Linked DNA regions of Lonchura striata. The protein of the gene in region 4 interacts with the protein of the main gene of each other region in a pairwise test. Links are inferred from orthologs where the notes say so. Each region holds a gene or a part of one and is shown on either strand. Other genes may lie near its edges.

Region 1 (7,908 bases), on a different chromosome or scaffold from region 4:
AAATTCATACCTAAGGAAATACATTCTTCTGTACAAAGTCCTAACTTGTGCTAGTATTCATTCAACAGTTCTCATGTTAACATGAAAATGACACTTTGTAAAAGGATCCTTAGCAATTTCAGTAAATTCTGAGTGGAAAAAGGTGGAAATTACCTTTTAGCATTGTTTTACTGATTGGCCACTCTGCCTTTCTACTGACCTGATCCTGAAGCCCTTGCACAGGCAAATCTCTAAATCAGCTCTGGCATCTGAGACTTTTTTCCCAGTGCTCAGACAGGATAAGTGTAGTGGCTGTGGAGAAGCACATCCCAGGATTCAAAGCTTATTTAATGGGATGGACATGGAAAGAACTTCAGGGCTTCTGGAATAGAATAGAATAGAATAGAATAGAATAGAATAGAATAGAATAGAATAGAATAGAATAGAATAGAATAGGGACTGGGAAAGCCAGGATACCCCCACTGAGGGACTAGGACTTTTCCCACCCAAGGTTTGTTTTGTGGTTGAATACAACCAGCCTGGTGGGCATATTTTTAATTCTCACTATTCCTTGCTTTTCAGCTCAGGTATTCCACTGAAGACTGCTCCTTCGAGGAGGAGATTCGCCCAGACGGCTACAATGTGTATAGATCCAAAAAACACGGAATATCAGTGTCTTTGAGCAGTGCCAAACAAAGACAGCAGTTCAAGGGGAAAGATTTCCTTCCCCTGTCTCACTTCTTGCCCATGATCAACACTGTGCCCATGGAGTCAGCAGACTTTGGTGAATATGGTGATTACAGCCAGGCCTTTGAGCCAGAGGCCTTCTCCTCGCCTCTGGAGACGGACAGCATGGACCCCTTTGGCATCGCCTCCAAACTGTCCCTAGTGAAGAGCCCTAGCTTCCAAAACTGACTGTGCTCCCAACATGTGTTCACAGAAATACTGAAGAGTACTGCAGGGTTTGTAGCTTTTTGTGTAGTGGTATTTGGGAACTTTTTTGTGTGTTTGAGTATGGAGCCAGCCATGTCCTTGTTGTACCTGTAAGAGATGAGTGCCAAGAGGCTGTTCTATAGTCTAAAGATTTGTCTAGCCATAGTTTTGTTTGGAAAAGAAGAATTAAATCCAAAAGTTTAGCAGCCTTATCAGAATTCTTCCATAGGTGGTGATAAAATAACTGTAGTTTTTCTACACCAGCTTCACTTCCACCTGTTGTAGCTGATCATACAAGCAAATGCAGAAAAACTTTTCCTCTTCAGAGACTTCAAACTCAAACACTTGGAGCAAAACTAGATGAAGGAAAACATCCTACCAGATCTAACTTGAGTTAATGCTTCTTAAAAGGTTGCTAACAACATTCTGGGGAAAATTTTCTGTGGAAAGAGTGCTACTGAAAAAACAAATCTGCTTGTATATTGTGCTTTTTCTTCTCTTAGAAAATAAGAGAAGAAAGGAAAAAATTCTCTCTTCCCATACTGCTAAGAAGTACTTTGGGAAACTTGATCATTGATTTCTTTGGTAGACTAAATTATGTTCTCTGTGGCATCAGAATCATCTGCAGAGAGTTCTCATTAACATCAGTGAGGATTCAGTGTGTGATTGGAAGAGTACCCAGGGCTAGGATTGATGTTCATCAAGTAGGGAATGAGCAGCTCAAATGAACGTTCAAATGAAGATTCTGTTGTATATAAGTCTGTATATGTCATTAGCAAACAGAGAAAAACACTGAGAACAGATGTATAGGTCAAATCAGTCATAAAATAGGTTTTTGTGTTTAACCTTTAACCATCAGAAATTCTTTCAAGTCACTTCCAGGCTTGATTCAGCATCCACGGGAATCAGTGGAGAGATGGTTTAGTGAGTTAAAAGCTGCAGAACTGGGTCAGGATTCTCCTTGCAAGAAGGGATTGTGAGTACCTCTGGCCAAGGCACTCAATGTCTTCAAGTTCTGTTCTCCCTCTGAAAAGATTCAATGGAGGAATAATCAAGGTAAAGCCAAAGGAGGGGGGGGGGGGGGGCGGGGGTGGGAAAGGATGGTTCAGGGATTCCACTTGTTTCCAAAGGTTCATTTATAATACAGATTTCTGTAAAAAAAAAAAAAAAAAAAAAAAAAAAAAGCTCTAGTGGAAATACTGGTGTTCTTCTGACCTAGCACTTCATTGCCAATGCAATATTTATAATTAATTTATTGAATACATACATCTGTTTATTTTGCTACTGTTATTTATGCTCAAAATTCTATTTATATACTTCTGAAGGTGGGTTTTTTAGTTGTTACAAATCTCATGAAGCTTTGTAATCAAGAGAATTTTAGCCAACAATAGCCAATTTTTAACCAATTTTTAAATAGCCGGAATTCTAGCCAATTTTTAAATTTCTGTACCTTTTCATTAGTGTAATGTGTACATTTCAATAAAAGAGAAAATCATCTTCAACACTGAAATCTGCTTGACTCTTTTGTCTCTCTCCAAGTGCCATATCCACACATCTTTTAAATACCTCCAGAGATGGTGACTCAACCACTTCCTTTGACAAAGAAATCCAAAAATCCTATGGGTAGAAGGCTCCTCCCATTTAAAAATGGAAACCATTCTAACCAGTGCTGCCAGGGAGAAAAGTGGTGAAAAATATGTCAGTTTCTGGCAGGAAAAGACCCTGAATGTTTCCATTTGGAAACGCTGTGAGACACAGGAACAGCAGATTTCTTGGCTGGCCAACATTGCCCATGGTGTTTTCCCATTCTCTTTTGTGCTGAGCCACTGCCACACATCCGGAGGGTTCCCACTCCTTGTGTGCTGGAAGAGGTAGTTCTGATTTTCTTTGTTTTATTCCAAAGCTTTTCAGATTTAAGGGGGTTTCATTTCTGGTTTCGTTTGATCAGCCACTGTATTTTCTTTGAATGCTTTTCAAGACCTTTCTTTAAAAAACAAACAAACAAACAAACAAAAAAAACCCAGAAAACAAAATAAAATAAGAATGAACTTTTAAAGTTTGGGCAAGAAAAGAAAAGTCACTTTTACTCTTCTACTAAAAAATGGCACAGATTTGACAGGAAACATGGCAAATAATGGAGTTTGGAGGGTACACAGTTTAACTGAACCAGTGAGAGATTTTTTAAGTGGGTGTAACATTGGCAATGTTTCTCAAGGGTGAAAAGATAGGCAACCTTACATTTTGGGAACATCATACTGAGCTCTCTCGTGACCCTATTTGCTGACACCTTTGGCTTACATTCTTCCACCGGCGGCACGATGATTTTTCCCTGCAACAGCATGATTAGAGGTTGGTTCAATATTTATTCAGACAGAGAGAAGAATGCCAGGAGCTAAATTAACCCACACCACTTCCTGGAGCGCTTCAGTTTTCATCGTCGTTTTCCCATCCCAGCTCTGACCAAACCTGGCTGTTTTGCTTACAAAATCTGACAAGATCTCGGCTTGAGGTGGGAGGATTGCTGGGAAATGCCTGCGACACCTGACTCGGTCGGGAACCGGGTGTGCAAAACCTCCAAAAAGCACCTTTGGTTCTGTGGGAATGTAAACACCACCAGCAGCCGTCAGCACAGCCCTGTCCCCTGCCCATCACAGCTCCTCAAAGGCAGGAGGACAGCGGCGCTGCTTTCATTTGCAGCAGCACATTTTACAGCCCTGAAAGGTTTTTAAAGCTCAGGTGTCAAATGTCTCCTTGGGAAGTCTCAGCTGGAAGTTGTGATTTGCAAATACGAGTTGTTAGAGAAGCTGAGAGGCTGAAGGAAAGGAGATACTGAGCGTCTTCATTTCTTTCATTGGAGGAAGTGTAAAAACGTATAAATCAATTCAAAGTCACAGTGTCCACTTTACCTCTGCTCAAATCACTGAAACTGATGGAAAATTTGGGGGCCTCTCTTTCTACTCTGCCAGTGTCCTTTGCATATGAATGGGGAACAACCTGATAAATTAAATAAAATTTCTCTTTTTTACCTCAAAAATATACATATTCCAACACCAGGGTGGCAGAATAGTGTGACCCAGAGCCACATTTTCATTAAGTATCTGGAAAGCAATAGTATAAGTTGACTTTAAAACAAGTGCTTGTAAATGTTTCCTTTGACCAGTGTTGATCTGTAACAACTAGTATTTTAATAAAGCAGCCTAGAACGGCACACTACAGTTTGAGTGGGTATTAACACCAAAAATATTTTCGTTTTAGAATCATAGACTGGTTTGGGTTGGAACGGACTTTAAAGATCATTTCATTCCAGGGGCAGGGACACCTTCCGACGTTGCTCGGAGCCTCATCCAATCTGGCTCTGGACACTTTCCAACTTCTCTGGGCAACCTGTGCCAGGACCGCATCGCCCTCACAGGGAAAAACTGTGGGCATCTGCACCAAAAATACACTTCTTGAGAGCCACAGCTACCAGCGTGACGTGAGAGAGATGTGCAAACTCCATCATTCCGCGCCCGGCGATAGCAGCCGAGAAAACGGCGTGAAGCTGTGTGGGGGCAGGCTCGGGTCGGACACCGGGAGAAGGCTCCTCAGCCTCACTCACAGCGCCACGGCTGGCGGAGCTCAGGGGGCGTCTGGACAACGCTTAGAGGCGCGGGGCGGGATTTTTGGGACGCGGGGCGGGATTTTTGGGACGCGGGGCGGGATTTTTGGGACGCGGGGCGGGATTTTTGGGACACCCGAGCTTCCTCCACGCACAGCCGCGGCCGGACTCCGCTCTGTGGCGGGGCTCGCGCGCCCCCTGGCGGCCGCACGCCGCAGCCGCGTGTGGGCGCGGCTTCGCCGCCAGGGGGCGCGCCCTGGGCGCGCGAGCCCCGCCCCCTCGCGCGCGCCGTCCGCTCCCGGCGTGCCCCGCGCCGCCATGGCCGACCTGTTCGATGGGATCGTCATGGCCGAGCAGAGGTGAGGGCACGGAGGCACTCCGCCGGGCCTCTGCTTCCCGCTGCGAGCTGCCAGCGGAGCGCCAGGGAAGGAAGGCGAGCGCTGAGCCCGAGGAGGAGGGCGGGGAGGGTTCGCCTCTCTGCGCATTCTGAGAGCCTGAGCAGCGGGGAGCGGCCTGGGGTTGTGTCGGGGTTGGATGTCAGGGAACGCTTCTTCATCCAGAGCATGGTCGGGCGCTGGAATAGGCTGCCAAGGGATTGGTCTCCGCACAGAGTGGGACCGGCCGGGTTGATGGGCTGAGGTCAGCAAGGCCGAGTGTCGGGTCCTTGGGCCGCCTCAACCCCTGCAGCGTTCCAGGATGGTGGGAGAGTTCCTGAAAGCATCCCAGAGGGAAAAGGGTTGGGGGTGCTGGCCAGAAACTGCTGAACACGAGCCCAGGTGTGCTCGGATGGCCAAGAAGGATGATGGCATCCTGGCATGTGTCAGCAGTAGTGTGGCTAGCAGGACCAGGGCAGTGACTGTCCCCCTGTTCTGGGCACTGCTGAGGCCCTACCTTGAATTGTGGGGTCAGTTTTGGGCACCTTAATCCAAGACATTGAGTTGCTGGAGTGTGTCCAGAGAAGGGAATTGAGCTGGGGCAGGCTCTGGAGCACAAGTCTGATGAGAAGCGGCTGAGGGAGCTGGGCGGGCTCAGCCTGGAGAAAAGGAGGCTCAGGGAGAACCTTCTCCCTCTCTACCACTCCCTGACAGGAGCCCCCATGTGGGGCCAGACTTTACGTCCTGGTAGCAAGTGACAGGACAGAAGGAAGTGCCCTTGAGCTGCACCAAAGGAGGTTTAATTTGGATATAAGGAGGAATTAATGGAAAATGTTGCCAGGCATTGCTGAGGGAGCTGCTGGAGTCACCATTTCTGGGGGTGTCCAAGGAACAGCTGGATATAGCACTCAGGGCTCTGGTCTGGTTGACACAGTGGTGATCATTCAAAGGCTGGGCTGGATGATTTCAGAGGTCTTTCCCAACCAAGACAAGCCTGTGATTTTGGAATTTGAATTTATTTTATGTGATATTTCTAAGCTTTGGAGACGATGCACTTTTTTCTTGTCCAGAGCCGCTCGCGTCCAGTGTGAGCTTGACAGGAGATTAAGCAAGCTGTGATTCTGCACTCCCAGGTTCCAAGGGGGGTCTGGACAGGAGATTAAGCAAGCTGTGATTCTGCACTCCCAGGTTCCAAGGGGGGTCTGGACAGGAGATTAAGCAAGCTGTGATTCTGCACTCCCAGGTTCCAAGGGGGGTCTGGACAGGAGATTAAGCAAGCTGTGATTCTGCACTCCCAGGTTCCATGGGGAGGGCTACCAGGAGGGGCTTGCAGAGGGCAGCCACGCTGGAATGACTGAAGGCAGGAGGTACGGAGCGCTCCACGGAGCCAGGATGGGCTCAGAGGTAAATGGGGAAACTCTTCAGCACTGGAATCTTCTTGTCATTAGAAAATTACAGCCACAAAGAAATTTTCAAGCTGAGGCCTGCTGTGTTTCATTGCTCTGTTTGTGTCCAGGAGGACCCATAAAACTGCTTTAAAGATGCTGTTTTGAGCTGGAGAGTTCAGGAGATGCAGTTGTGTTTTGTTTATTTGCTCTATGGAGCTTCGGTAATCTTTTTTCCCAAATTTATGGCTAAAGGTCCTCTGCCCCCCAGTACCATCTCCTGTGGCCCAGCATAGGGAAAAGCATGGAATCTTGAGACATGAAGAATCAGTTCTGTGTGTCTTATGCACCCTTTGTTAATTGTGATGCTGGGAGGTTTTGTGGCACTGTTCCTGTTCTGCTCTGTGTTCTGGCACACCCGGATCAATAACCATTCCTAGGAATTCAGGGGCTGGAGACTGGTGGGGAGGCGCCTCAACTTGTGCCATATGTCAGTTTGTCACAGCTACAGGATGGGAATGCCAAACAGCAGTCTCCAGAGCTGGATGGTTTGTACAAAATGGTCCTGGACAGACCATAAGAGAGAATTTGCTCTCATCTCCTCATACTGGGAAAGCTCCAGAAGGAGGCAGGATTAGACACATCAAGTGAGAGGGTGGCTTGGGTAACCTTATGCTTGTCAGCCTTTCCAGCTTGGAAACATGTTTGTGTACCCATGTTTTAGGTTCCTGAAGAGTGAGATACAGTGTAGTGTTTTATTTTTGTTCCACTGTCTATGCTCTGTGTTCTGTGGGGCTTTTTCTTTCCTTCATGACTCTTTTAAATTAATTTTAGATTGGTTGCTACCTTGGGTTTGCACTGACGTGGCACTGTCTGCTCCAGAAAAGCACAGAGGAAAAGAACAGGTGAGGTTAAAAAGGCTTAAAGTCATTTCACTACGACTTCCATTCTTCTATTTGTATCTTTTTTCTTTGGTCCCATTTTGATTAATCTGTCTGCCAGAATTCCCTTTTTTTTTTTTTTCTTTATTTTGACCAGTCATCTAATCAGAATTTTTGTTGATTCTTGAATATTTCTCAATTTTGGACTAGTAAGTTGAAATGGAAGCCTTAAATCTGTCAATTATGCTTAGTTCCCAATTTGGAATAATGCCTAGTTTGGATAATTTCTTATTTAAGAATATGGAACACACCTGACAATGGGCTGAATGGGAGAAGTGGAATTAAAGAAGGATGGAGGGCTGGGATTTGTGCTCTGGATTATTATATATCAGTATAATTTTCATATTGATGGATTGAAAAGACTCCTGTGTGAGGATCATTGGGTTTTCTTTTGATTTGATTAATTTTGTTTTTTCTAGCAAAAAGATAAAGGCTCTGCATTCATTAATAGGGATGATTCAGAAATTCCCATATGAAGACCCCACTTATGATAAGCTGCAAGAAGATCTGGAAAAAATCAGAGGAAAATTTAAACAGGTTTGTAGGATTAAGTTGTAATTTTAATATATAAATTCACTTTTGAAGATACTTTGTTTCTAAAGCCACTCCAAAATTTTGTGAAGCAGTTATTGCTCCCATTCTGCAATCATAGCAAAATACTTGAAGTGAGATAAATTAAGTGAAAACCTTTGATAGTT
Region 2 (7,819 bases), on a different chromosome or scaffold from region 4:
CCTGTCTGTGTGTCCCTGTCATCTGTCCCTGTGTCCGTGTGTCTGTGTCACCTGTCTGTGTGTCGGTGTGTCCGTGTCACCTGTCCGTGTGTCTGTCCCTGTCACTTGTCTGTGTCACCTGTCCGTGTGTTCCTGTCACCTGTCCATGTGTCTGTGCCACCTGTGTGTCCGTGCCACCTGTCCATGTGTCTGTGTCACCTGTCCATGTCCAGCTGTCCCTGTCCCATGTCCCACATTGTGTCTGTCCCTGTCCCATCCCTGTCCCTGTCCCCACATGTCCCCGATGTCCCCACAGCGCCGTTGTCACCGTTCGTTGTCACCGTTTGTTGTCACCGTTCGCTGTCACCGCTGTCACCGTCCCCACCAGGACACCGGCGGCGGTGGCAGGGGGTGACGCTGTCACCACCCGACCTGGTGCCACCCCCCTGGGGTGTGACAGTGACACCGGTGACACCTCCGGGCTGCCAGGAGCAGCAGAGCCACCGAACAGAGGCAAAAGGGGCAAAAAGGGCCAAAACGCCCCAAAATCGGCCCCGGGGAGGGCTCGGGGTGACAAAAGGCACAACCGGCCCCAAAAACGGCGTCACCTCTGCGGTGTGGGGTCCTGGGGGTGGCACACGAGGGTTGGGGAGAATTTGGGGGGATTTGTGAAAATTTGGGGTTCTTGTGGTGCTGCACAAGGGTTTGGGTGGAATTTGGGGGGATTTTGGGGTTCTGGGGGTGTAACACGGGGTTTTGGGTGGAGAATTTGGGGGGATTTGTGAGAATTTGGGGTTCTTGTGGTGTCACACGAGGGTTTGGGTGGAGAATTTGGGGGGATTTGGGGCCCTCGTGGTGTCACACAGGGCTTTTGGGGGAGAATTTTGGGGGAATTTGTAAAAATTTGGGGTTCTTGTGGTGTCACACGAGGTTTTGGGTGGAATTTGGGGGGATTTTGGGGTTCTGGGGGTGTAACACGGGATTTTGGGGGGGGAATTTGTGAAAATTTGGGATTCTTGTGGTGCCACATGAAGTTTTGGGGAGATTTTGGGGGGATTTGGGGCTTCTTGGGGTGTCACATGAGGTTTTTGGGGAGAATTTGGGGGGATTTGTGAAAATTTGGGGTTCTTGTGGTGTCACAAGAGATTTTGGGTGGAATTTGGGGGTCCTGGGGGTGTCACACGAGGTTTTGGGGGAGAATTTGTGAGGATTTGGAGTTCTTGTGGTGTCACAAAAGGTTTTGGGTGGAATTTGGGGGGATTTGGGGGTTCTGGGGGTGTCACACGAGATTTTGGGTGGAATTTGGGGGGATTTGAGGGTTCTGGGGGTGTCACACGAGATTTTGGGGAAAATTTGGGGAAAATTTGTGAGAATTTGGGGTTCTTTTGGGGGGATTTGGGGTTCTTGTGGTACCACACGATGTTTTGGGGGGATTTGGGGGTTCTGGGGGTGTCACACGAGGTTTTGGGTGGATTTTGGGGGATTTGGGTGTTCCTTGTTCTGAGTGACAACAACCAGGAACAGCTTTTGGGTTAAAAACCCAAATAGGGTAAAACCCCCAAACTTGGAGTGGTTTTTACCCCATTTCCCATCATTTTTGGGGTAAAAAGGCCCCAGAAAGGAAGGGGAAGGAAAAAAAAGGCAGCAAACTCCAGAGGTGGGGTAGGGGCAGGCACAGCCTGGGGGGTTTGGGGTGATTTTGGAGCATTTTGGGCAACTTCACCCCTAAAAACCATCACTGAGGACAAACTCCTCCATTTCACCTCTGGGTTTTTTTGGGGGGAGGATTTGGCCTGGATTTGGGGGAACTTTAAACCCTTTTTTCTCCCCTTTTTAATATTTTCTTTCTCCTTTTTCAATTTCTCCCCCTTTTTTCAATATTTGTTCTCTTTCCACCTTTTTTTCCCTCCCCTTTTCCTAATTTCCCCCTTTTCCCCCCTTTTTTTTTTAACACTTTCTTCTCTTTTTGGAATCTTTCCCCATCACTTTAACTCTTTCCAAATCTTTTCTTTTTTGATTTTTGCCCACTTTTAAAATACTTTTCCCCTTTCTAAAGTATTTTTCTGTGTTTAGTATTTGTCCCTCTTTTGAATCTTTTTCCCATTTTTTATCTCCCCCCTTTAATACTTTTCCCTTTCTTTCAGTATTTCCCCCCTTTTTTAATCCTTCTTTTCCTTTTTCAATTTTTAAATCTTTTTCAGTTTTTTACATTTTAAATTTTCTTTCATTTTCTCTGTCTTTTCATTCTTTTTCTCTTTTATTCTTCCCCTTTTCCAAACTTTTTTCCTTTTTAAATAGCTTTTCCCTTTCCATCCTTTTTTGTTCTTAAATGTTTTTCATTTTATTATTTCTCCATTTTTCAATACTTCTAGTGACTTTTGTTCCTTTTTGAATATTTTTCTCAATTTCAACATTTTAAAACTTTCATCCTTTTAAATATTTTTCTGCTTCCACCCTTTTTGAGTATTTTCTTCCTTTTTCAATTTTTCCCTTTATAATTTCTTCCCTTTCCCGTCCTTTTCCAATCTTCTTCCCTTTTGCAATGTTTTAAAAAATATTTTTTCTTTCAACCTTTTCTCTTTTCTAACCATTTGTCCCTTTCTCAACATTTTTCTTTTTGCATCTTTTAAAATCCTTTTCCCTTTCCCAATATTTTTTATTCCTTTCATTATTTTCCCTTTCCAAGCTTTTTTCCTTTTCCAATCTTTTCCCCCTTTTCAATCCTTTTTCCCTTTCTCAGTTTTTTCCCTTTTCAATTTTTCCCCTTTTTAATCTTTTTCCTTTTCCATTTTCCCCCTTTTCAATCTTTTTTATTCCTTTTCAATCTTTTCCCCCTTTCCCAACCTTTTTTAATCCCACCTCTATCTTTCCAACCCCTTCCTCAACCTTTTTTTTTTTAAACCTTATAACCCCCCCTTTTTTTTTGTTCTTCCTCCGTTGCAGCCTTAAAGAAACTCCAAAAAAAGAAAAAAAAAAAAAAAACACCCAAAAGAAAAAAAAACCCCAACAACCCCAAAACCCAACCCACCAAACCACTCCCTTCCCAAGTATTTCAAAGTCGAGGAGGGAGGGAGAAAGAACAAAAAAAATAAAAAAAAATTTGCTTTTTAATTTTTTTTTTTTTAGTGCGTGTTTAAAATCACCGAGGGAGGGGGGAGGAATGGGCAAAAAAAAAAAGGGGGGGGGAAGGGTAAAAATCCTTTAAAAAATGAAAAGGGAAGCGTGACGAGTATGGAACTAGTTAACCTTTAACAATTTATGCTGATGTCACACTGAGCATGAGTACTGATTAATCCCCCCCCGAAATATTTTTATGGGAGTGAGGGGGGGGGGGGGGGAAGAATAAGGAGAAAGAGAAGAAAAAAAAAAAAGCAGAAAAAAAAAAAAAGAAATAATTTACCGCAGCCATCTTTGTTTTATGCAGAAAAATCTCCGGCTTCGGGTCCCCCCCGGCTGGGGCCACACAAATATTTGTCCCTCGCCGAGCCGGGATCTTCGGGAGGGGGAAAAGCAAAATAATATCATTAATGAGGCCCCAAAAGCGACCAAAAATACCCTAAAATGAGCAGGATGAGGATTATTCGCCTGCTCGGGCAGTAACGGCGAAGGCTGGGGGGGGGTGGGGTGGGGGGAGCTTTGGGATTTATTATTTTTCAGGGGTTTCGTGCTTTTTGATTTTTTTTTTTTTTTGTATTTTTAAGGATTTTTCGTGGCTTTTGTTTCTAATTTTTTAATTTTTTTTTTTTTTTTTACGTCGCGCGGTTGATTTTTAAGGTTTTTTGGCGCTTTTTTTTTTTTTTGATGTTTATTTTTACCCTTTTCAGCCCTTTCTGGTTTTTGTTTATTTTTAACCTTTTTTCCATTCCCTTCCCTTTTTAAATATTAATGTTTATTTTTGACTCTCCTCTTTTGCCATATCAATTTTAAGCTCGATTGTCCCTTTTCTTCCCATTCCTTCCCCATTTTAAATTTTAATGCCGATTTTTACCCCTTTTTGCCTCTCCTTCCTGCCCCTTTCCATTTTTCCACCTCATTTTGTCATTTCACCCTCCCTTTCCCCTCCAATTTAACTCCTTTTCAATTCTCCCCTTTATTTCCTTCATTCTTTTCCCTGAACGCTTCCCTTTCCTCCTTTTTTTTTTTTTTCCCCTAAAATATTAATTTCAATTTTTTTTCCCCTTCCTTAATTCCCCTCCCCCTTTCGCGGGTTGGGTTTTATCGCTTTTTTGTGCGTTTTTGAGGCTTTTCCCCCCTCTTTTTCACCCTCTTTCCTCCCTTAAGGTGCGTGTGGGGCAACTTTAAAAAAAAACCCTCATTCGGCCATTTTGCGCTTTTTTTTTCCCTCAAGAAGAGGGGGGGGGCACCACCCCCCCATTTCCCTCATTTTTAACCCCTCCCTCCTCCATATTTTTTTACGCCTTTCCCCCCCCTTTACCGGGGTGTGTTTTTTATTATTATATATATTTTTTTCTCTTCTTTTTTTTTTTTTTTTTTTGTGTGTGTGTGTGTTGAAAGGGGGGGGGGGGTTTATTTTAAAATTACACCCGGGGCGGCCATTTTCGCTGCCGGCGCCGTCCCGCCGCCCGGCGCCTCCCGCGCCCTGAGGCGATTTTAACCGATCCGGGCGTTTTTCAACCCATCGCCGCCGCCCCCCCCGCGCCCCCCGCGCGGCCCCGCCGGGCCCGGCCCGGGGGGGGTCGCCCCGTCCCGCCCCCTCCCCACTTTCCCCTCACACCGAGCCCCCCCGGCCTCGGCGGCGGGGGCGGTTTGGGGCGGTGGGAGCGGCGCACGCCGAGGGTCCCCCCGGCCCCCCGCCCCTCAGCCGGCCATGGCGTCCCCGCTGAGGGAGGACGAGGAGGAGGAGGAGGAGATGGCGGTGTCCGAGGGGGACGAGGAGGACGACGACGAGGAGGACGACGAGGAAGAGGAGGAGGAAGACGCCGCCGCCGCCGCCGCCGCTGCCGCCGCGCTCTTGGCCGGGCACCGAGGGCCCCCCGACATCTTCGCCGGGCCGGCCCCGGCCCCGCTCCCGCCGCCGCCGCCGCCGCCCCCCGCGCCCGCCGCGCCCGGACCGCCGGAGGCGCCCGCAGGTACCGCCGGGACCCCCGAGTGACCGCCCCGAGCCCCTCGGAGATTCCCCGAGTGACCGCCGGGACCCCCAGAGTGACCACCCCGAGCCCCCCGAGGGACCGCCCCGAGCTCTCCGAGTGACCATCCCGAGCCCCTCGGAGATTCCCCGAGTGACCGCCCCGAGCCCCCCGAGTGACCACCCCGAGCCCCTCAGAGCTTAGCGGAGTGACCACCCCGAGCCCCTCAGAGTGACCACCCCGAGCCCCTCAGAGTGACCGCCCCGAGCCCCTCAGAGCTTAGCGGAGTGACCGCCCCGAGCCCCTCAGAGTGACCACCCCGAGCCCCTCGGAGTGACCACCCCGAGCCCCTCAGAGCTTCCCCGAGGTACCGCCGGGACCCCCCGAGTGACCACCCCGAACCTCTCAGACCTTCCCCGAGTGACCACCCCGAACCCCTCAGACCTTCCCCGAGTGACCACCCCGAACCCCTCAGAGATTCCCCGAGTGACCACCCCGAACCCCTCAGAGATTCCCGCAGTTACCGGGAGCCCCGAGCCCCTCAGCGCTTCCCGGGGGTACCGGAACCCCCGAGCTCGCCGCCACTCGAGCCCGGCGCTTCCCGGGGGTACCGGGACCCCCCAAGCGTCCCCCCGAGCTCGCCGCCACTCGAGCCCGGCGCTTCCCGGGGCCGCCCCCCGAGCTCCCCCTTCCCGCTCCCTCAGCGCTTCCCGGAGGCGCCCGCAGCCACCGAGCCCCCCCGGTCCTCACCCGTCCCCTCAGATCCTCCCGCAGGTACCGAGCCCCCCCGGTCCTCACCCGTCCCCTCAGATCCTCCCGCAGCCACCGAGCCCCGCTGTCCCCTCAGCTCCTCCCGGAGCTTCCCGCCGGTACCGGGACCCCCGAGACCCCCGGTCTGCCCCCACTCCCTCAGAGATTCCCGGGGCCGCCACAGCTGCCGAGGCTCCCCGAGCCCCACTGTCCCCTCAGCGCTTCCCGCCGGTACCGGGACCCCCTGAGCCCTTTGAGCTCCATTTTCCCCTCGGCGCTTCCCGCCGGTACCGGGACACCCTGAGCCCTTTGAGCCCAAATCTCCCCTCAGCGCTTCCCGCCGGTACCGGGACCCTCCTGAGCCTCAATTTCCCCTCAGTGCTTCCCGCCGGTACCCAGACCTCCTTGAGCTCCATTTTCCCCTCAGCGCTTCCCCCCGATACCGGGACCTCTTGAGCTCCATTTTCCCCTCGGCGCTTCCCGGCGGTACCGGGGGTGGGCTGCGAGGGGAGGGAGGTGTTTGTAAACAACCGCGAGTGTCACCGCGGGTGTCACCGTGCGGCCACCCGTGTGTGGGGACATCTCTGGCCGCACACCGGCCCTGAGGGGACACGGTGGTGGCGGGGGCTGGTGGTGCCCTGCCAGGACCCAAAGTGGGAGCTGAGCCCATCGTGTGGGGTGACAGGGGTTGGATGTCCCCTGACAGGACCCAAAGTGGCTCTGACCCCATCGTGTGGGGTGACGGGGGCTGGATGTCCCCTGCCAGGACCCAAAGTGGGCACTGACCCGTCATGTGGGGTGATGGGGGCTGGTGGTGCCCTGCCAGGACCCAAAGTGGGTGCTGACCCATCATGTGGGGTGATGGGGGCTGGCAGTGCCCTGCCAGGACCCAAACTGGGCTCTGACCCCATCGTGTGGGGTGACGGGGCTGGTGGTGTCCTGCCAGGACCCAAAGTGGCTCTGACCCCATCATGTGGGGTGACAGGGGCTGGTGGTGCCCTGCCAGGACCCAAACTGGGCTCTGACCCCATCATGTGGGGTGATGGGGGCTGGTGGTGCCCTGCCAGGACCCAAAGTGGCTCTGACCCCATCGTGTGGGGTGACAGGGGCTGGCAGTGCCCTGCCAGGACCCAAAGTGGCTCTGACCCCATCATGTGGGGTGACAGGGGCTGGTGGTGCCCTGCCAGGACCCAAACTGGGCTCTGACCCCATCATGTGGGGTGATGGGGGCTGGTGGTGCCCTGCCAGGACCCAAAGTGGGCACTGACCCCGTCATGTGGGGTGACAGGGGCTGGATGTCCCCTGCCAGGACCCAAAGTGGGCTCTGACCCCATCGTGTGGGGTGATGGGGCTGGCAGTGCCCTGCCAGGACCCAAAGTGGTGCTGACCCATTGTGTGCGGTGATGGGGGCTGGTGGTGTCCTGCCAGGACCCAAAGTGGGCTCTGACCCGTCATGTGGGGTGACAGGGGTTGGATGTCCCCTGCCAGGACCCAAACTGGGCGCTGACCCCATCGTGTGGGGTGATGGGGGCTGGTGGTGCCCTGGCAGGACCCAAAGTGGGAGCTGAGCCCATCGTGTGGGGTGACAGGGGTTGGATGTCCCCTGCCAGGACCCAAAGTGGGCTCTGACCTGTCATGTGAGGTGACAGGGGCTGGATGTCCCCTGCCAGGACCCAAAGTGGGCTCTGACCTGTCATGTGGGGTGACAGGGGCTGGATGTCCCCTGCCAGGACCCAAAGTGGGAGCTGACCCCATCGTGTGGGGTGAGGGGTGTTGCTGTGCATCTGCCAGGACCCAGAGTGGCTGTTTTGCGGAGTGTTGGGGGCTGTAGGTACCTGACAGGACCCAGGTCGGCTGTTGCACCCCATATTGAGGTGTTTGGTTGCTGATTCTCCCCTTCCAAGACCTGAATGGGTTGTGTTATCCTATATTGAGGTGTTTGGAGGTTGTTTTTCCCCTTCCAGGACCTGAATCACCCTGTTTTGAGGTGTTTGGGGGCTGTT
Region 3 (7,458 bases), on a different chromosome or scaffold from region 4:
CAGTTTTCTTTCTGCAATTGGTACTACACCAGCCAGCACTGAACAAGGATTTTTCCCCTGGTTTTTGTTCTTAAAAAGTGAAAGTAAAAATTACAGAAAACTGTTATACAAAGAAATTTTACAATAAAAGGTTTATAAATTACTGGTATAATTGCATTTTGTGCCAGGAGAATGACAGAGAAGTAAAAGAATAAGTTTCTTTAATTTTGAAATAAACACAAAATAAAGAAGGAAAAATTATGCAAGAGTTATAAAAAGATCTCTAGAAACTTATAAATAGAACACTTGAAAGTATGGCTTGTTTCAGGGCTATCACAGCTACTCACCAGATGTTCAATTAAACACTGTTAAGCAAATATTTTTAATCAATATTTATCTTTAACAAAAGCCAACATGAAATAAGCAATTAAATCTGTTCTCAGCAATTCAAGCAAAAACTAACTCTGCCAAAACCAATAGTTACTCTGCATTTAAAGTCATGCATATGAGATTAAAAATATGACATAACCACTGAGCTGTCATACAGGACTCAAAAATGTTCTAATATACTGAATTCCTGCAATTTCAATGTAGTTTCTTTTCTCTATCTGAAAATACCTGATTCTTCTGTATTTCCATATCAGTCTTGAATAAGGCAATCCATATTTTTAAAACATCTGCCACTTTTCTGAGAAATCATTCAGTTACATTCATTATCTTATCTGAACAAAGTAAAAGAAAATCTTACCTTAGGTGAACAAGGTTCGCCATTATTTATCACAGTCTTTCCTAAACTGAACAAAAAAATATTAAGACAAATAAATGAAGTTACCCTAAAGTGGCGGTTCATCTTTTACTTGAAGAAATGCAAATGTTTTGATGGGTTTCAAATTTCTGTGGAAAGAATTGTACACTATGAAGGCCTGATCTAACTATTTGGGAATGTCTACAGCACAAAGGACAGCCAACACATCACTCCTTTACTGCCTGGATTTAATAAACCACATTTCAATTGCACAGTAGATTTTATATATTACTACTTGAATCCTGAAGGAAAATTACAGCTTATCACCTCTACATGACACATCAAACATATATTTTCATTGTCATAAACTCTGACAGATTTTCTTATATGCTATTCTTGAGCATTTTTGTATATTTGGCATGAGTGTTCTGGGTTGCTTGAAAGAAAAACTAGTATCACTTGATGTTTTCAGATTTTTACCAAGTTTTTTTATCATTAAAATGAAAGAGTCTGTACTGCTGTGGTGATAGTGCACTAGAACAGGATGTGGAGGCAGTTTTGGAATATGTCATCAAAGTAATTTCAAAATAGAGAACTGAATAAACATTATTTTAAATTAATACTTCGTATTGCATAGAAAATCTTTTACCAGGAGAATAACAGCAGTATGTTGGTTTCACCGGTAGCCCACCCATTGTAACACAGGTACTGAGTCTGTCATTCAGTACAATGATTTTTATCTCTGAAAAAAGTCAAAGTACAAGAGAATGGCATGAAAAAGAAGAAAATTAAATGCTTAATTAAAACTATGGGGCACTTACAGATTTCATTCAATTCCACTACTTTTGTATCTTAAAACTGGATCTGACAGTCTAAGAGGAAAAAAAAGTTCACAAAGGTCAAACATACTTAGAGAATTTAGACACATTAGAGAATTTAAATTGTTTGTGATCTGGCTGAATAAATGAAACCTCAGCTTCCAATGTACCACTGGGAAATACACTGTCTAAAGGATCTTTAAAATACAGTGTTAACCTGCATGTTACACCGGAAGAAAATGTTTCAAATTTGGCTTGATAATGTGATTAATCTCCACCTCTATCTAAAGCTGGAATACACTGGAAATAGTTTTTGCTACTAAGACTAGTTGGGAGCAACCAATATTTGTTGGGAGTGGGGATTAATACACTTTTTAATCCAATGTTTTCTTTGAAAATTAATACCTTAATGGCACTAAGAACCTGTAACTGAGAGGAGTATATTGAAATGCCTGTGAAATTCTGAACAACTTTGGCTCTTCTGTATTTCTCAAAATTATTTTTTTTTTTCTAAAGTACCACATGGTACATAATAGTTTTCCAATATGAGAATTACTAGGGTTTAATTAGTGCATCACTTGATGCTCTCTCCAGAAGATGCAGGTTGTGATCATTAGTTCAGTCTAAGGAAAAATGTGAAAAGATTTCCATGGCTCTCTATATATCACATTAAGGGCAAACTAACAGTTTTTCTTCTTCTTTCTATGTACATCAATAGGTAGAGTGACAAATTTCAGGCAGGAATAGTTAAAATAGTCAGAACATTATCTTCTCCCATGCAGTTGCCTACACAGCTTGAAGAAAAACTATGGAGCATCAGCAGATTAATCCTCCACTGGAATAAGAAGGAAAGAAAAATGCATTTCTGCAGCAGCACAGCTATGCTCTAGCCTTCAAATAAGACTTGTAATAAATTCAGAATACATCCCACAAAGTTTTAAAAGCTGATCTTATCCTTCACTGGAATATCAGTGTCCAGCCCAAAGTAAAATTTATGAAACTTCTTTCAAACCAGCTGTCAGAGCAGGACCTTCCATTCTGTAACTACTTAAGATCAGGTTTCTTGCTGCCCCAGAATAATCATACACTTCTGAATTACATGGCACTCAGCTTGTCACCTTCTTGTCCCACAGTCTGAAAAATGTGAGGTTACTCATGAAGAGAAATTATCCAATAACCACAAAGAAGGACTATGGAGACTTAATAAAAAAGTAAACAAGATAGAAATATATATAAACACTGAGGAATTTCTGAATCTCAATAGGTATCTTAAGGTGAAGCTGCAAGTTGTGCTGTATTACATGAAAATTTTCAGCAAATCTAAGGAAGCTCAAAATCTGTCAGTGGCTTGAGTTGACCATGACCTTCAATCTCGTAGGTTGAAGTGATGTGCACGGGCCCAAATTCTGTCATTTCCCAGCTCTGTCTCAGTTCTGATTGGGTGACTCAGTTCTCCATCCTGATAAAGCCTTCTACTGCATCCTAAAATAAACAGTGCATTTTATCAGGCAATCTGGGAATTTAAATGTGGGGGGGGGTTGAAAAGCCCACAGTGGTAAATTGACAACCACTTTTCCCCCTTCTGCAACAAAACAGAACAGATGGGGCAAAGAAATGGTGAAATTTGGGTTGATTTTTTGAAGCAGAGTTGAAAGACTTCCATTTTAGGGTGGTCTTCTAAATGGCAGTAACTGGGATACTATAAATATTGAACACATTTGGCAACCTGCCCACCACTGGTCTTGACCGTAAAATGGTAACAGCAACACCCACTTCCCAAACTGTGCTACAAATATGAGGGAGGGGTCTGTGGAGAAAAGTATTTTACAAATGCGGAGTACTATTTTTTTTACCTTCCTAGTCAAAGACATAGAACAGCTGTACACTGGGAAAAAAAAAAAAAAAAAAAAAAAAAAAGGAAGAATTGGTTTAAGCTCAAATACATCAGCCAAGAAATGTCTCCCCAGGAAATCACCAAGGCATTTAGCCTGTTGCTGACAGCTCATCCAAGGCAGGGCAATATCCCAAGACAACACCCTGCTTTGCTTAAAAAAAAATATAAAATAAAAGGGGGAAAAAAAAAGGTTTTGTAGTCATTAGAACAAACTGGAGGGTTTTTTCGGTTTTTTTTGGTTTTTTTTTTTTTTTTGTGTTTTTTTTTGTTTTGTTTTGTTTTTGATTTTTTTTTTTTTTTTGTTCTTTATGTAGCTGTATTCATAGACTTGTAAATATTTTTTATATAATAGTCATCATTTTGTGCATCAACTGATGCACAAAACATCTTTGGTGGTGGTTGTTGCTGTTATTTCTGCATCCTGTGTTTAAAAAGAAAAAAAAAAGTTTATGGTGTTATCTCCAGGTCTTCAAGAAGCCTAAGAGGCACCCGCACCGCAGAGCTCTGCAAAGCCCGCACACGGGGCCGGGCGCAGTTTGCCCACGAGCTCGCCCGGACCCCGTGTGCTCGGGGCTTTTAGAGGTCATGCCGCGGCTGCAGAGGGTGGAAAGCGCAGCGAGAGCCGAGCACCGTCCCTGGCAGGGTGTCCGCACGCTCTCCCGCCGGGACGGGACAGCGAGGAGCGGCTCCCCCGCGCGGCTCCCACCCTGGCGGCGTGTCACGGTTTGACACGAAAGGGAGCTCAGCCCCACGAGGACCGCCGGGCGCGGCGGCTCCCGGCCGCCGGCCCCGCAGGCGGCGAACGCGGAGCCGCCGAGCGCGCTCCGCCGCGCCGCTGCTCCCGCCGCGGCCCCGCCCCGTTGCGAAGGAAGCGGCGCCGCCGGTTGCTACGCGGCGCGGAGACGCGCGGAGCGGCGCGGCGGGGCCGGCGCTGCATGGAGCTCGGCGGCACGGAGCTCGGCGGCACGGAGCTCGGCGGCACGGCCGGCGGGGCGGCGCGGGGGCAGGTCCCGCCCGGGGCCCCGCAGGACCGCGCGGGCGGGCAGAGCGTCCCTGCGTATCCTTGCTGCGGCGTTTCCCGGGCCGGCCGAGCCTGCGTGCGGCCCGGGCCGCGCCGCTGCGTGCGGCCCGGCGGGCGGCGGCGGGGCCGGGGCCGGTGTCGCAGCCCCCGCCCTGCCCCGCGGTCAGGGGCCGCCTCAGGGGCGTCTTCAAATTGGAACTTGCACGTTGCGGGTTTGAAACTGCCGTGGGAAAGTTGACTGCTCCAGCAGCTTCGGAGTTCTCTTGTTTTCCCTTTTCTGGGAGATTATGCCACTAGGAATAGGGTTTTCCATCCTAACTTGGGGGTTCTTGTTTTTTGAATCTTAGTAGTAAGAACTACTGACGCAAACTCTTAAGATTATTTACTACGTAAATAATTACTGGCATGATGCAGGACTGACCTGGCTCTCTGGAGAGCTTTTATTTAGTGATGTTAATCAATTTCAGTGAAAACAACTAATCCTTTAGGGTGTGGGAGTGTGTGTGTGAGGGGATGTTTACTATTTAAAATTTTCCTTCTCATATCTGCATCCTTATGTTACAGGTTTAGGTAACTACACAAAATGTCCCTTCAAATGAATATAATAAAGGTGGGATTTTTCAGCTGGTGATACAATGAAAGATGAGTGTAAAGCCTCTCCTAAAATGCTTTTTAAAAGTAAAGTGCAATTATTTTTTTTTCTAGATGAGCATAAAGTTAGTTATGACTGTAAACATACAATTATGGGACCTCCTTTATATAAGGTCAATCACACAGGCTGTTATATCTTTTAATGAGCTGTTCCATACAGTTTCTATTGTCCTTAACACAGTCTTAGGGGTGGAGATTTGATATTTCATTTTGAGCAGGATTTACAAGAAGAACGTCGGGCATTGAAAGAGGATCAAAAAATGCATCGAAGCAAGGCAATGAAATATTTGATGGAGACAAACAGAAGAAGAAGGCAAGTAACTAGGGTTCCTTTAATGGAGGATTGTAAAAAAAAGATAAAACCAAAGCAAAAGGAGTCATAACCTTGAGACAGATCAATATATCTCTACTATTCTCATGTTCATTTTGATAAATAGCTCACTGCTTTGGCCTAGAGGAATTTAAGCTGAAAAGTTTCAGCAATCCAGTTTCTTGCTATAGGACAAATAAAATAAAACGAGCAATATTCTGATTTGCTCACTAATTTTTGAAAACTCACTGTAGTCACATCTCATATAAACTAAAGGTAAGTAGTACTTTCATCTTGTGGCTCTGATCTGCATTTCTAGTGTTCTGGGTTTTATTAGCTTCAATGCATGTATGAAAAATGCACTCAGCTGTACAGAGTGGGCCAGCAGAAGGCAGTTGTTGCTTTCTGAAGTGTGTGCTTTTTTGTCTGCATGGCATAACAGCTGCTCAGCTTCCCCTTCATGCCAAGGCTTTGTGCTCCCATTTCCCAATAAACACAAAGCAACATTTTTCTTGTACAGGATAATACTTATAATAAACTTATTTTGTACATTTTAAACAGAGCTTTGCATAATCTGTCTTCTGCATACATGAGAATGCAAAGCCATGAAATATACTGTGGCAAATGGATTGAGTAAATTATGCACTGAAATGTCTCAGTGAAGTGCTGTGAGTAGTTCAGTGGGAATAGAGGTTTTTCCCCTAGGACTGAGGTGGTGCTCACACATACAGGGGGCTCAGCTGTGTGTACTGGAGAGGCAGATGGGTTCCTCCTTGCAAGCCCCCAGCCTCAGACCAGCTTCCTCTGCCTCTTGTTAACTCACTAATGCTTGTGCCCTGCAGTTCCCTTATCTGATGACTTCTGTTGTGCAATGTTCACTTATTGCATATGTTCATAACTCAGAAGAGAGGTGGTATTTATTGTTTATATTGCCATTTTAGCCTGACAGTATGTGCTGTCAACTTACCCTTTGAAATAAAAAGAAATGGAAGAGGAGATAAAATCAACTGTGAGTAATTAAAGACAGAGTGCGACCCACAAACTTTGCAGATAATAAACTAAGTCTCAGTTGAAAAATTAAATACCTAATTTCTTTTTCTGGAACAGAACCACTGCAATGCTACACATCTCAGATGAACACTGTTTATTGTAATACTGGTCTTGAAATATTATACTTTAATGTAAAAGCAAGTACCAGACAGCCTGCATATTTTTGACAGACTGGTGTAGTTAAAGTAATACTTGTGGATACATAAATACATTTCCATATGTATTTCATTGCAGCCTTAGGAAACACAGTATAAATCCAAGTTACTCAGGTGAGTCACTTAGAAATTTAGGTATGGTATTCGTAAAACAAAGTAATTTCAATTTGTGATAATTGAGAATGGCATAATTATTAGCACAATAAGCAATTCAAATGGAGTCTGTGGTAACAAGTGTTCTCCTAATAACTGAAAAGGAGTGAGTTAGTTAATGTTAGAAAGGTAGAAAATGCATACAATGTTACAAGCTGTGACATAGATAATTAAAAATCCTGTATATGTGCAGGAAAGTAATTTGAAAATAAAGTTCTTTGAATCTACATATTTTTTTCCTGGGATTTATGCAGGTATGAATTGATTAATCAACCCTCAGGTTGTGTCTCAAGTCTATATGATCCAAGTTCCATTAGCTTTCTTATACATGTGAAGGTGTTAGATGTGATGATGGTTTCTCAAGAGTAGCATGACGTTCTTAAACTCCACATTCTCACCTGGCAGCACCCAAAATTCTCCCTGCCAGGGCTTACAGGTGTATGTCAGGAGTGTTCTTGGCACTGCTAGTGTATGATTTCAAAAGAAAATTTGTATCTTTTGCATATTTTGTGTGGAGTGTAAGAATGAGTGCACTGTGAAGTGTGACAGACCTCTAACCTTCGCATAGAATGGTTGAGTTAGGACGGGACCTCTTGATCTGTTTGAACACCTCTACTCAGGAAGGACAATCCTCCACAACCTCTCAGGGCAATCTGTGTCAATGCTGTCATCCTTACCAAAA
Region 4 (8,097 bases):
TGTGGAAAGCTCATTGTCAACAGATTGAAGACAATTAGGAATATTCCTTCCTTGTTTCTCTGTTGTATATTCTGAAAATAATAGTGTAGTCCCATAATACACTCTGTTCTGTCAACATTAATTTTGAGCTGGGATGGGTATACAGCTCATTTTTATCTCAGCCATACTATCTTTTTTATGGTGTTAGAGTTATTATCAAAACTCCAGAATTAAAATGTGGGTTACTTTTAGGGACAAAAACTTTTCTTATTTGAGGAGCAAACTAAGGAAAATGACAGAAGATAATTGTTTTGGTACTAATAAAGTGTACCTTTTGCTCTGCTTAGTATGCAGCAGTGCAGAGTACAGTTTTCCAGACTGCAAGCCCTGAGGACATTCAAGGAAAGCCCGGGGAAAGCGGGGGGGGGGGGGGGGGGGACGGAGGGGACGGAAATACTCCTTTACTTAGCCACTTCCACTTGCAATTTGGTTTAAGCCCAGCTGCTGGCAGTTCATGAAACAACATGAAAGGTTGCTTTGTGAGGATCTGAAATGGTAATGATTCTGCAAATAAGAAAACTGTCCTGTTGTAATATTTAACTATCAAAGTTCTGTTGCTTTGGTTATACAGGTGAAGCAAGAAGCAGAAAAAGTATCCTCTCCCTTGAAAATACTTGTGTAAGAAGTAATGGCAAAAGAGCTATTAAGACTCCTGTGGTGCTTGGAAGTGAATGTTAGGCATCTACCTTTGATACCTTCTTTTCTATATCCTTCCATTTTCTTCTCACATTAAATGTGACATTTTGACCCAGCATTGTTGTTGCAATATTATTGTATGCTATTAAAGAAGACAGAAGTGATTTCACAAAAAGCAGATAAGTAATTCATATATATTAGTTACCTTCATCAGAAGAGGGTGACAGGGCTTCACTAGTAAATTGTATTAATACCTGTATGAGAGCTATTACAGGAAAATACAGAAGTGTATGTTTATTACCATGCCCTGGTAATACTCATTGATTCTAGAAGTTTATTTTAACCCTCTTGTTCAGTTTAAGGGCATTATAGTCTCCTATGCTGTGAGCTGCAATATTTAAAACCTCATTAAGCCTATGACCTTGCACTTAACCTCTTTGCTCACTGTTTCCTTCTCTGTGGTAGCAAAGTATTTTTGTGCTGGAGGTCACTGTATTATTATTGAAATTCAGCCAGCAATGCACAACCCCACGACCCTGTGCATGAAGAAAAGATGCACAGATCCAAGATCAGGACAGAGACGTTGACTGCATGTGAGAGTCTTTCTTGATGCTGTTGTAGGCAGTCCTACTAATGCCCTGTTATCATGATATTCATGGAAAACAGCCTAGAATTTGACTAGGCAGTAGAGCCACATACCCAGAAAAGACTACAGACCTGACCATAGAATATGTACACACTTTGGGAGAGACTTTAAGGCTCTTCAAAAACATTGGTGACAATGCATATACCATCTTTATTAAATATTGACCATTTGTATTCTCCTCACATTTTGATAGCTTGCTCTTTTTCATTATGTTTTTGTCTTGTTTACTATAGAAGACAAGTAAACATTTAAATGTTTAAATTAATTAAATGTTGCTGAAATTTATCCAAATACCATTTAAGAGCTTAGATTTCTAAAAAGAATGATATTATTCCCAAAGTTGGAGTCAATGTAACATGGCTCTGTCAGTCCATAAGCATTGCATGACTGGAGAACAATTTACAGTGTAAATAGTCCTCTGCTCTGGGTCTTTCACAAGGCTTTACTTAATTCTGTCAGGGACAACAGCACACAGCAACAGAAAGGGCTGTAGTGAGAACGAAAGGAACTTGCACCACAGAGTGGCCCATGTACAAGTCCTGGTCAAGGTAATCAACCACCCTTCAAAAAAGCTTGAATTCTTCAGGTGTCTGCACTATGACAAAATCCACTGGATACTCCCATCCATTTCTGTTCGAGAGACAAAGTTGTGTAATAATGATCTGAATAGGAGCAATGCTTTATCTGAAGCATTATATGCAGTAAAAACAGTGCAAAGGAACACTCTATGACAATATGCTATTATATTTCACTTTTGGAAATCACTTGTGGCTGATTGCTTAATGGCAAACTTTACTGCTAAGATGAAACTGGCAGAATTCCTGTGTAATTATCTCCTGAAATCTCTAGTTAGTACTAAGCTCTGACTGTGTACTGACCCCTCTGGAAGCTCTCCCCAGTACACCAGGAAAGCAGGAAGTAACTGCTGAGATACGCATGTCCATGTTCCAGAAGTACCTTTGTTATTATCAGATACCCTAGGCCTAAAATTTGCCTGGTTTTAAACTTAGATATGGCATTGGCAGACTTTACAATGGCTCACAAGTCAACTACTTAACTTTTTACAATTTCAGGCAACTTTATTGTGCAAAAATATCAGAACTGACTTTTAGGCAGTGAAATATTGCTCTCTGGTTTTGATATTCTGGTATCTTGACAGTGGCACCAAAATACACAAACATTGTCCCATTTAGAAGACACGTAAGTGTGGAAAACATCCACATCCCGAGGCACTGCACCTCACCCTCAGTCCCAGCACTCCTGTCCAAGCCATCAGTATAGAATCACATTGTCTTCAAGTTCCAACTGTACTTCATATCCCAACAATGTTGCTCTATGTATACAATGATTCACCTAATTATCCACCCACAACTAATAACATAAAGGGGTGGAAATTTCTTAATTTTTTTCTCACAGTTATAAAGACTTAAACAATGTCCTGGTTTGTAAGATAAGCTTGTATTCTATTTGCCATCTGTTGGAGGTTGGGCAGGTTTGTTATCTTTTCCAAGAGCAATGGTTTGCTCCGAGGTAATGGTTTGTTAGTGGGCCATTGACTGACTCAATGCAGGGCTGGTAACGTAACACCATCCCATTGTGAGATGCTCCACCCAGAGGGGGAAGCCAAGCACTCTTTTATTGTATAAAGTGGTACCTTTTGGGAGACAAAGCAGCTCACTCTCTTTGCGGGATTCCCAGAGAAGCAGCTCCTTCGGCAGGACTCCCGAGAGAAGCGGCCGGAGCGCGCTGAGGCGGCGGCGGCGGAGCTCGGAGGCGGCCCCGGCGCAGAGGAAGACCGGCCCAGCTGCCACCAGATCTTCAGAGAAAACTATACCCTTCTAAAGATCACCACTGCAGCTGCAATTCATCAACCACTGCAAGAGGAGCAGCTATCATTTCAACCGGACTGCTACTGGCACCCCGAATCCTCAGGTTGTGGACTTTATCACTAGTTTTGTTTGTACCAATTGCATTTGCCTTTTTAAATTGTTATCTAGTTTTCTCCTAGTAAAGAATTGTTACTCCCATTCCCATATCTTTGCCTGAGAGCCTTTTAATTTAAAAATCCTGGTAATTTGGAGGGAGGGGGTTTACCTTCTCCATTGCACAGGAGGCTTTTGCCCTCCTTCACAGACTCCTGTCTTGTCAAACCAAGACAACTCATTTCCATGTGTATGGGATGATCAACTTGGTTAAATTTAAGACATTTAAGCTAATAGCATGAATCTGGGAAACTCACAGCTTCCTTGAGCCATGACCTGTGTATCTTTTCCAGAAGAGCAAGAGGCTGATGAGACAGAAGATAATAAGCAAAGAACCCTTATTAAACCCAAGTTTAATAGTGCTGTTGCCAGATGAAGAATTGTTTCCACATGGTGAATTTTTGCTAAGTGTCATTATGACCAGTTAAAGTTTTTTGTTGCCAGAAGGGATTTTCGTGACTGTGCATTTGTTCATGCAGGCAATAGTCAGTATTGTTATCTTTTTTTTTTTTTTTTTTTTTAATGGCAGAGCTAGCATCTGCCAGATGGGAGTTGAAAGTGACATAAGTGGGCTAGGAAATCAGCAATCATTGACATGTGTAGTAACTGCTGAGGAACAGATATGCAGTTGTGGCCATCCAGAGGCATCAGTGTCATTTTGGCACCTGACACACAAATTTCTAGAAAGATTGGGTTACTTGACTACTCGTTCCTCAGCATTCAACCATGAGCGAGCATCCAAGATGGGCCAGAAGGAAGAGGACAGGCTGTCTGCAGAGCAGAAGGGAGGAAAGGGAGAGCAGCAGCTGCACGCTCGTTTGTCTCCTGGTACATGCAGAGCCCTGCTGCTGTCCCTGCAGTGTCCCAAGCCCTGCTTGGGGACAATTATAATTTATAATGTCCCCAGCCACCCCAGGCCAGGAGACGAGCCAGCGGGCAGTGGCTGGGGCAGTGTGGTCCCGTGGGGAATCTCGGATGTTAGGGCTGCCAGGGCCCGCAGGGCACCGAGCACAGGCGGAGCTTACTGAACAGCTTCTGGCAATTCCGAGAAGCAGGCAGCTTCAATTCCAGTTTGATCTGTTGTGTGTTCATGAAGATTAATCAGCTTTAAACCTATGCTCATAAGCCAAATGCACCATGCACCAACACTGTTGTATTTATGTTTCATTTACGTCAACAGGATATTCCTTTCTTTCTCTAGTCAAAAGTCAGCACGGAAACACTTGACTCCCACTGGCATCTTTCATATTAAAAAGGATTTATCTGTGTAATACCTGGGTCTTGCAGAGGATAGCTTAAGGGCATGCTTCACATAAAGTGCTTGACGATTCTGAAGTCAACAAGACAGATGTTTTTTTTTTTTTAAGTCCACCGTTTATGATGGAAAAGATGATGAAACCTCCATGCCCCGAGGGACGCGTTGACCCTAGGGTTGTCCTGCGGTCACTGTGGGAGGCCGAGGCAGCTACATGCCGCTCCCTCCAGAGAAAGAGGGAGGTGGTGACGGGGTAAGCGGATCCCGACTGCGGCAGCAGCTCCCGGCCCATTGGCGTCCGGCGTCCCCAGAGCAGAGCAGGGCAGGGCCGGGCAGGGCAGGGCTGGGCTGGGCTGGGCTGGGCCAGGCCCGGCCCCTAGAAGAGCTGCGCCCTCACTCAAGATGGCGCCTTCAGCATCACCGAGGAGCTCTGACGTAGTGGCTGTCGCTGCCCAATGAGCTGCGCCGGCAGCGGCATCCGTTTGCCCTCAGTGAAGATGGCGGAGCGCGGCGTGGAGTGCCGGCGGCTGCGGTGAGGGTCAGTGTGCGGGGCCGGGCGAGGGGAGAAGGAAGCAAGCAGCGCGGAAAGGCGAGCGTCTGCGGCCGGGCGGGGGAGAAGGAAGGCTCCCCGCAGCGCGGCCGCTTCTGGGGAGCCGGGCACGTGCGCGGCCGTGAAATGGCGGCGGGGCCTGGCGCCGGCTGCGGGGCTGGGGGTGCCCCGCTTGCCCACCGCAGGCGGCGGGACCCCGGCCGGCTGGGTCCCAGCGCCCTGGCTTCTCTGAGAGCCGCGTGTCTCCGCAAGGAAGTGCCCGTGTGTTCATACAGTTTGCAGCGAGGCAAATGAATTAGCTGTGAAACGCTTCTCGAAGTTTTCGTCATACAAAAATATTAAATAGCCCGAAAATTTCTGCTTCGCACTGCATCAGCACTTTCTAATTCTTTATTCAAAACATAAAGTACTGTTTCTCCTTTATAAGATCGTTAAATATTTGGCATAATCAGAAAACTGTAAATCAACGGTGAAGGTACTTCCCAGTTATTGACTCTGCAAGTGTTAACCTGCGTGTAGTAAATTTTGTACACAATATGTAAAGTTGTGTGTATACATACAACTCGTTTTAGGGCACCACATGGAGGCTGTATGGGACTATTTGTCAGCTGCTGTTGGAAGCAAGTCATAAAGTTGTTTCTGCCAGCTGCCCTTGTACTGGCAGTATTCATAAATGCTGCGTTGGCATCTGTATGTGTGTGTCAGTGCCATAAGATGGGAAGGAGCTATCATAAATTGCCCTAATATATCTCAGAACTTAATTTACAAACAATGATCTGATTGCCTTTTCTTGACAGATGCACCCCAGTGGCACACAGCACCGAGTTCCCATGTACAGCTTGAATAATCAGCTCCATACCTGGCTTCTCTTCAGAATTCAGTTTTTTGCCAATACTTCTAATCTGACATTCACCAGAGGCACTTCTGAGAGTTTCTCCCTTTTTCTACCATATAAACAGAAGTCATAGGGCACTGCTGTTATGTCCTGGGTACAAGTGGCAGTCAGGCAGTCCAATGAGGATATATTTGATGAAGATGCAGATGAAATGTGTCTACTACAGAAGGAATGGAACAGCACTATGAAAAAGAGGTTGAAGGTATTTCTATAAAAATTATTTAATATACTTTTTAGTCATTTTAGATTTAGTGACATTTAACTTGGTATACATTTGAATGATTCAAAGGGAAAAGTAAAAGCAGCTGCTTAAAAGTTATTGTGGCATACTTTCTTCTGAATATCAGGAAAATATGGCAGAAATTTACATAAACAGTTTATGTAAAACTAAGAGCAAAGTACTGTTTTACCAAAAGACACTGACTCCTTCTGCACAACCATGTGTGTTTATAAAAGGCAGTGCTAAATTGTGATGCAAGCTACTTGCTTTGTACTTGTAGTTATACCCCTAGTAAATGAAGGGCAACAGAGCTGAACAGTGTGAATAAAGAAATGTGAGATGTTTGGGGTTTTGAGTATAGTTACTCATCAGCAGAATGCAAGATGTGTGACTCCATGTGTAACCACAACTGGGCGTTGTGGTCTGTGTAGGTCTTTGGTTGATTTATTCTCCAAGTGAAATATATATTTTATGAAAGCTGCTTTCCACAGCCCTTGCCTCTGCAGTTTTGTAGGGAACAAAACAAGTTCATAAATAGATTAATTCAATAGATACTGTGTCATTCAGAGTGGGGTCAGTAGGGCTCCTCTGCTCACAGTTGAGCAGCGTTTGGCTGAAGAACATGGATGGAAACCATAGGCAGTCAATGACGAGGAATGGTATTACAGCAGACTTGGTGTAGTTTCCTTCATCTGAGTTCCATGAAAAGATTGGTTTTCTTAAGGAACTGTTTAGTGTTCTTACAGAAATCCCACCGATATTTTTGAGTAGATGCTGCAAAATCATGAAGGGTTGTTGAAGTTAGAGTTGTATGTTGGGGAGAATAAATTTTTGTGCTCCAGACTACTTTTCTAGCAAGGCCACAATGAACAAATAAAACTTTTTGCTTTTGTAGCCTGCAATTTTGGTGTGAAAAAATGTTAAGAATTATTCTATATAACCTTGTATTGTGGTTATAATATAAAGAAAGTACTTTGCATTTCAATCATTAGCTGTATATTTAAAGAAAGCAGTCCCAGTGTTATGTGTATTTATATGTGACTCACTCAATCACGGTCTCTTTTTCTGCTATAACTCTTGAATGGAGTGAGGTCCAGCAAATAAAGGAGCAATGCTCGGCAGTTAATTTTGTGAAAATAAATGGATTCCGTGTAGATGGATTACAGATAGAAGAATACCTCTACTAAAGGGGAAGCTTGGCATATCTTTTTAAACAGAAAAAAAGGAAGTCTATGTGGTACTTCTAAGTCCATTTCTCACAAAGGAGTTGGTAATCATTAAAAGCAAACATGCTTCTTTTTTGATCTTTCTAAAAGAAGTTTCCCTCTTTTCTCACTTTCTGGGGAAAGTAAAAAACTGCATCTTATAGGTCAGTAAATCATAATATACTGCAACAAGCATGTTTTGGTTTGCCAGTGGGGGATGTTGAGATATAGAAGCTGTATCTTAAGAGATTGAATATTTGTGATACTTGTTTAAACTTCTTTATTATTGTTGTTATGTATTTGTCGGAGGTCAACTTTGTCATGTTGTGAGCAACCTGTTTCAATGCTTTTGTTACAGGAAGGCTATAGGGATGGAATTGAGGCCGGGAAAGAACTTGCACTCCAGACAGGCTTTAATCAAGGTTACAGACACGGTGCCAAGCTGATGATTACATGCGGCCAGTTCAAAGGAATCCTGAAGTAGGTTACAAACTCCTTAGGGTCAAGTATAGGTGGAGGATGTGTAACAGGGGAACACACATGCAGGTTTTTGTTTGTTTTATTCAAAAACCAAACCAACCAACCAAAAAAAAAACCAAACAAAAAGAACCAACATATTTTGAAACTGTCTGAAGTGAGCAACCTGAGAATTCCCGCATCTTGAGAACA

What was found.
Region 1: the proteins of YAE1 (region 4) and LTO1 interact in binary tests that used the Homo sapiens proteins (3 or more experiments, as listed by UniProt). The link is inferred for Lonchura striata from reciprocal best matches to the Homo sapiens genes YAE1 and LTO1.
Region 2: the proteins of YAE1 (region 4) and CHD3 interact in a two-hybrid assay, tested with the Homo sapiens proteins (2 studies listed by BioGRID and IntAct). The link is inferred for Lonchura striata from reciprocal best matches to the Homo sapiens genes YAE1 and CHD3.
Region 3: the proteins of YAE1 (region 4) and CEP126 interact in a two-hybrid assay, tested with the Homo sapiens proteins (2 studies listed by BioGRID and IntAct). The link is inferred for Lonchura striata from reciprocal best matches to the Homo sapiens genes YAE1 and CEP126.

The regions. Positions count from the first base shown.
Region 1 is NC_134608.1:55,207,617-55,215,524, forward strand, and holds the start of LTO1 (protein LTO1 homolog), read left to right. Parts: upstream 1-4,793; 5' UTR 4,794-4,828; coding exon 4,829-4,869; intron 4,870-6,182; coding exon 6,183-6,288; intron 6,289-7,103; coding exon 7,104-7,174; intron 7,175-7,629; coding exon 7,630-7,747; intron 7,748-7,908. Other genes in the region: FGF19 (fibroblast growth factor 19), read left to right, coding at 562-894. UniProt on the Homo sapiens protein: The complex LTO1:YAE1 functions as a target specific adapter that probably recruits apo-ABCE1 to the cytosolic iron-sulfur protein assembly (CIA) complex machinery. May be required for biogenesis of the large ribosomal subunit and initiation of translation.
Region 2 is NC_134636.1:1,912,484-1,920,302, reverse strand, and holds the start of CHD3 (chromodomain-helicase-DNA-binding protein 3), read left to right. Parts: upstream 1-4,705; 5' UTR 4,706-4,807; coding exon 4,808-5,069; intron 5,070-7,819.
Region 3 is NC_134604.1:42,133,460-42,140,917, forward strand, and holds the start of CEP126 (centrosomal protein of 126 kDa), read left to right. Parts: upstream 1-4,424; 5' UTR 4,425-4,493; intron 4,494-5,295; 5' UTR 5,296-5,368; coding exon 5,369-5,421; intron 5,422-7,458. Other genes in the region: ANGPTL5 (angiopoietin-related protein 5), read right to left, coding at 728-829. UniProt on the Homo sapiens protein: Participates in cytokinesis. Necessary for microtubules and mitotic spindle organization. Involved in primary cilium formation.
Region 4 is NC_134603.1:103,309,280-103,317,376, forward strand, and holds the start of YAE1 (protein YAE1 homolog), read left to right. Parts: upstream 1-5,023; 5' UTR 5,024-5,090; exon of another isoform or gene 5,091-5,096; intron 5,097-5,905; 5' UTR 5,906-6,088; coding exon 6,089-6,205; intron 6,206-7,786; coding exon 7,787-7,908; intron 7,909-8,097. UniProt on the Homo sapiens protein: The complex LTO1:YAE1 functions as a target specific adapter that probably recruits apo-ABCE1 to the cytosolic iron-sulfur protein assembly (CIA) complex machinery. May be required for biogenesis of the large ribosomal subunit and initiation of translation.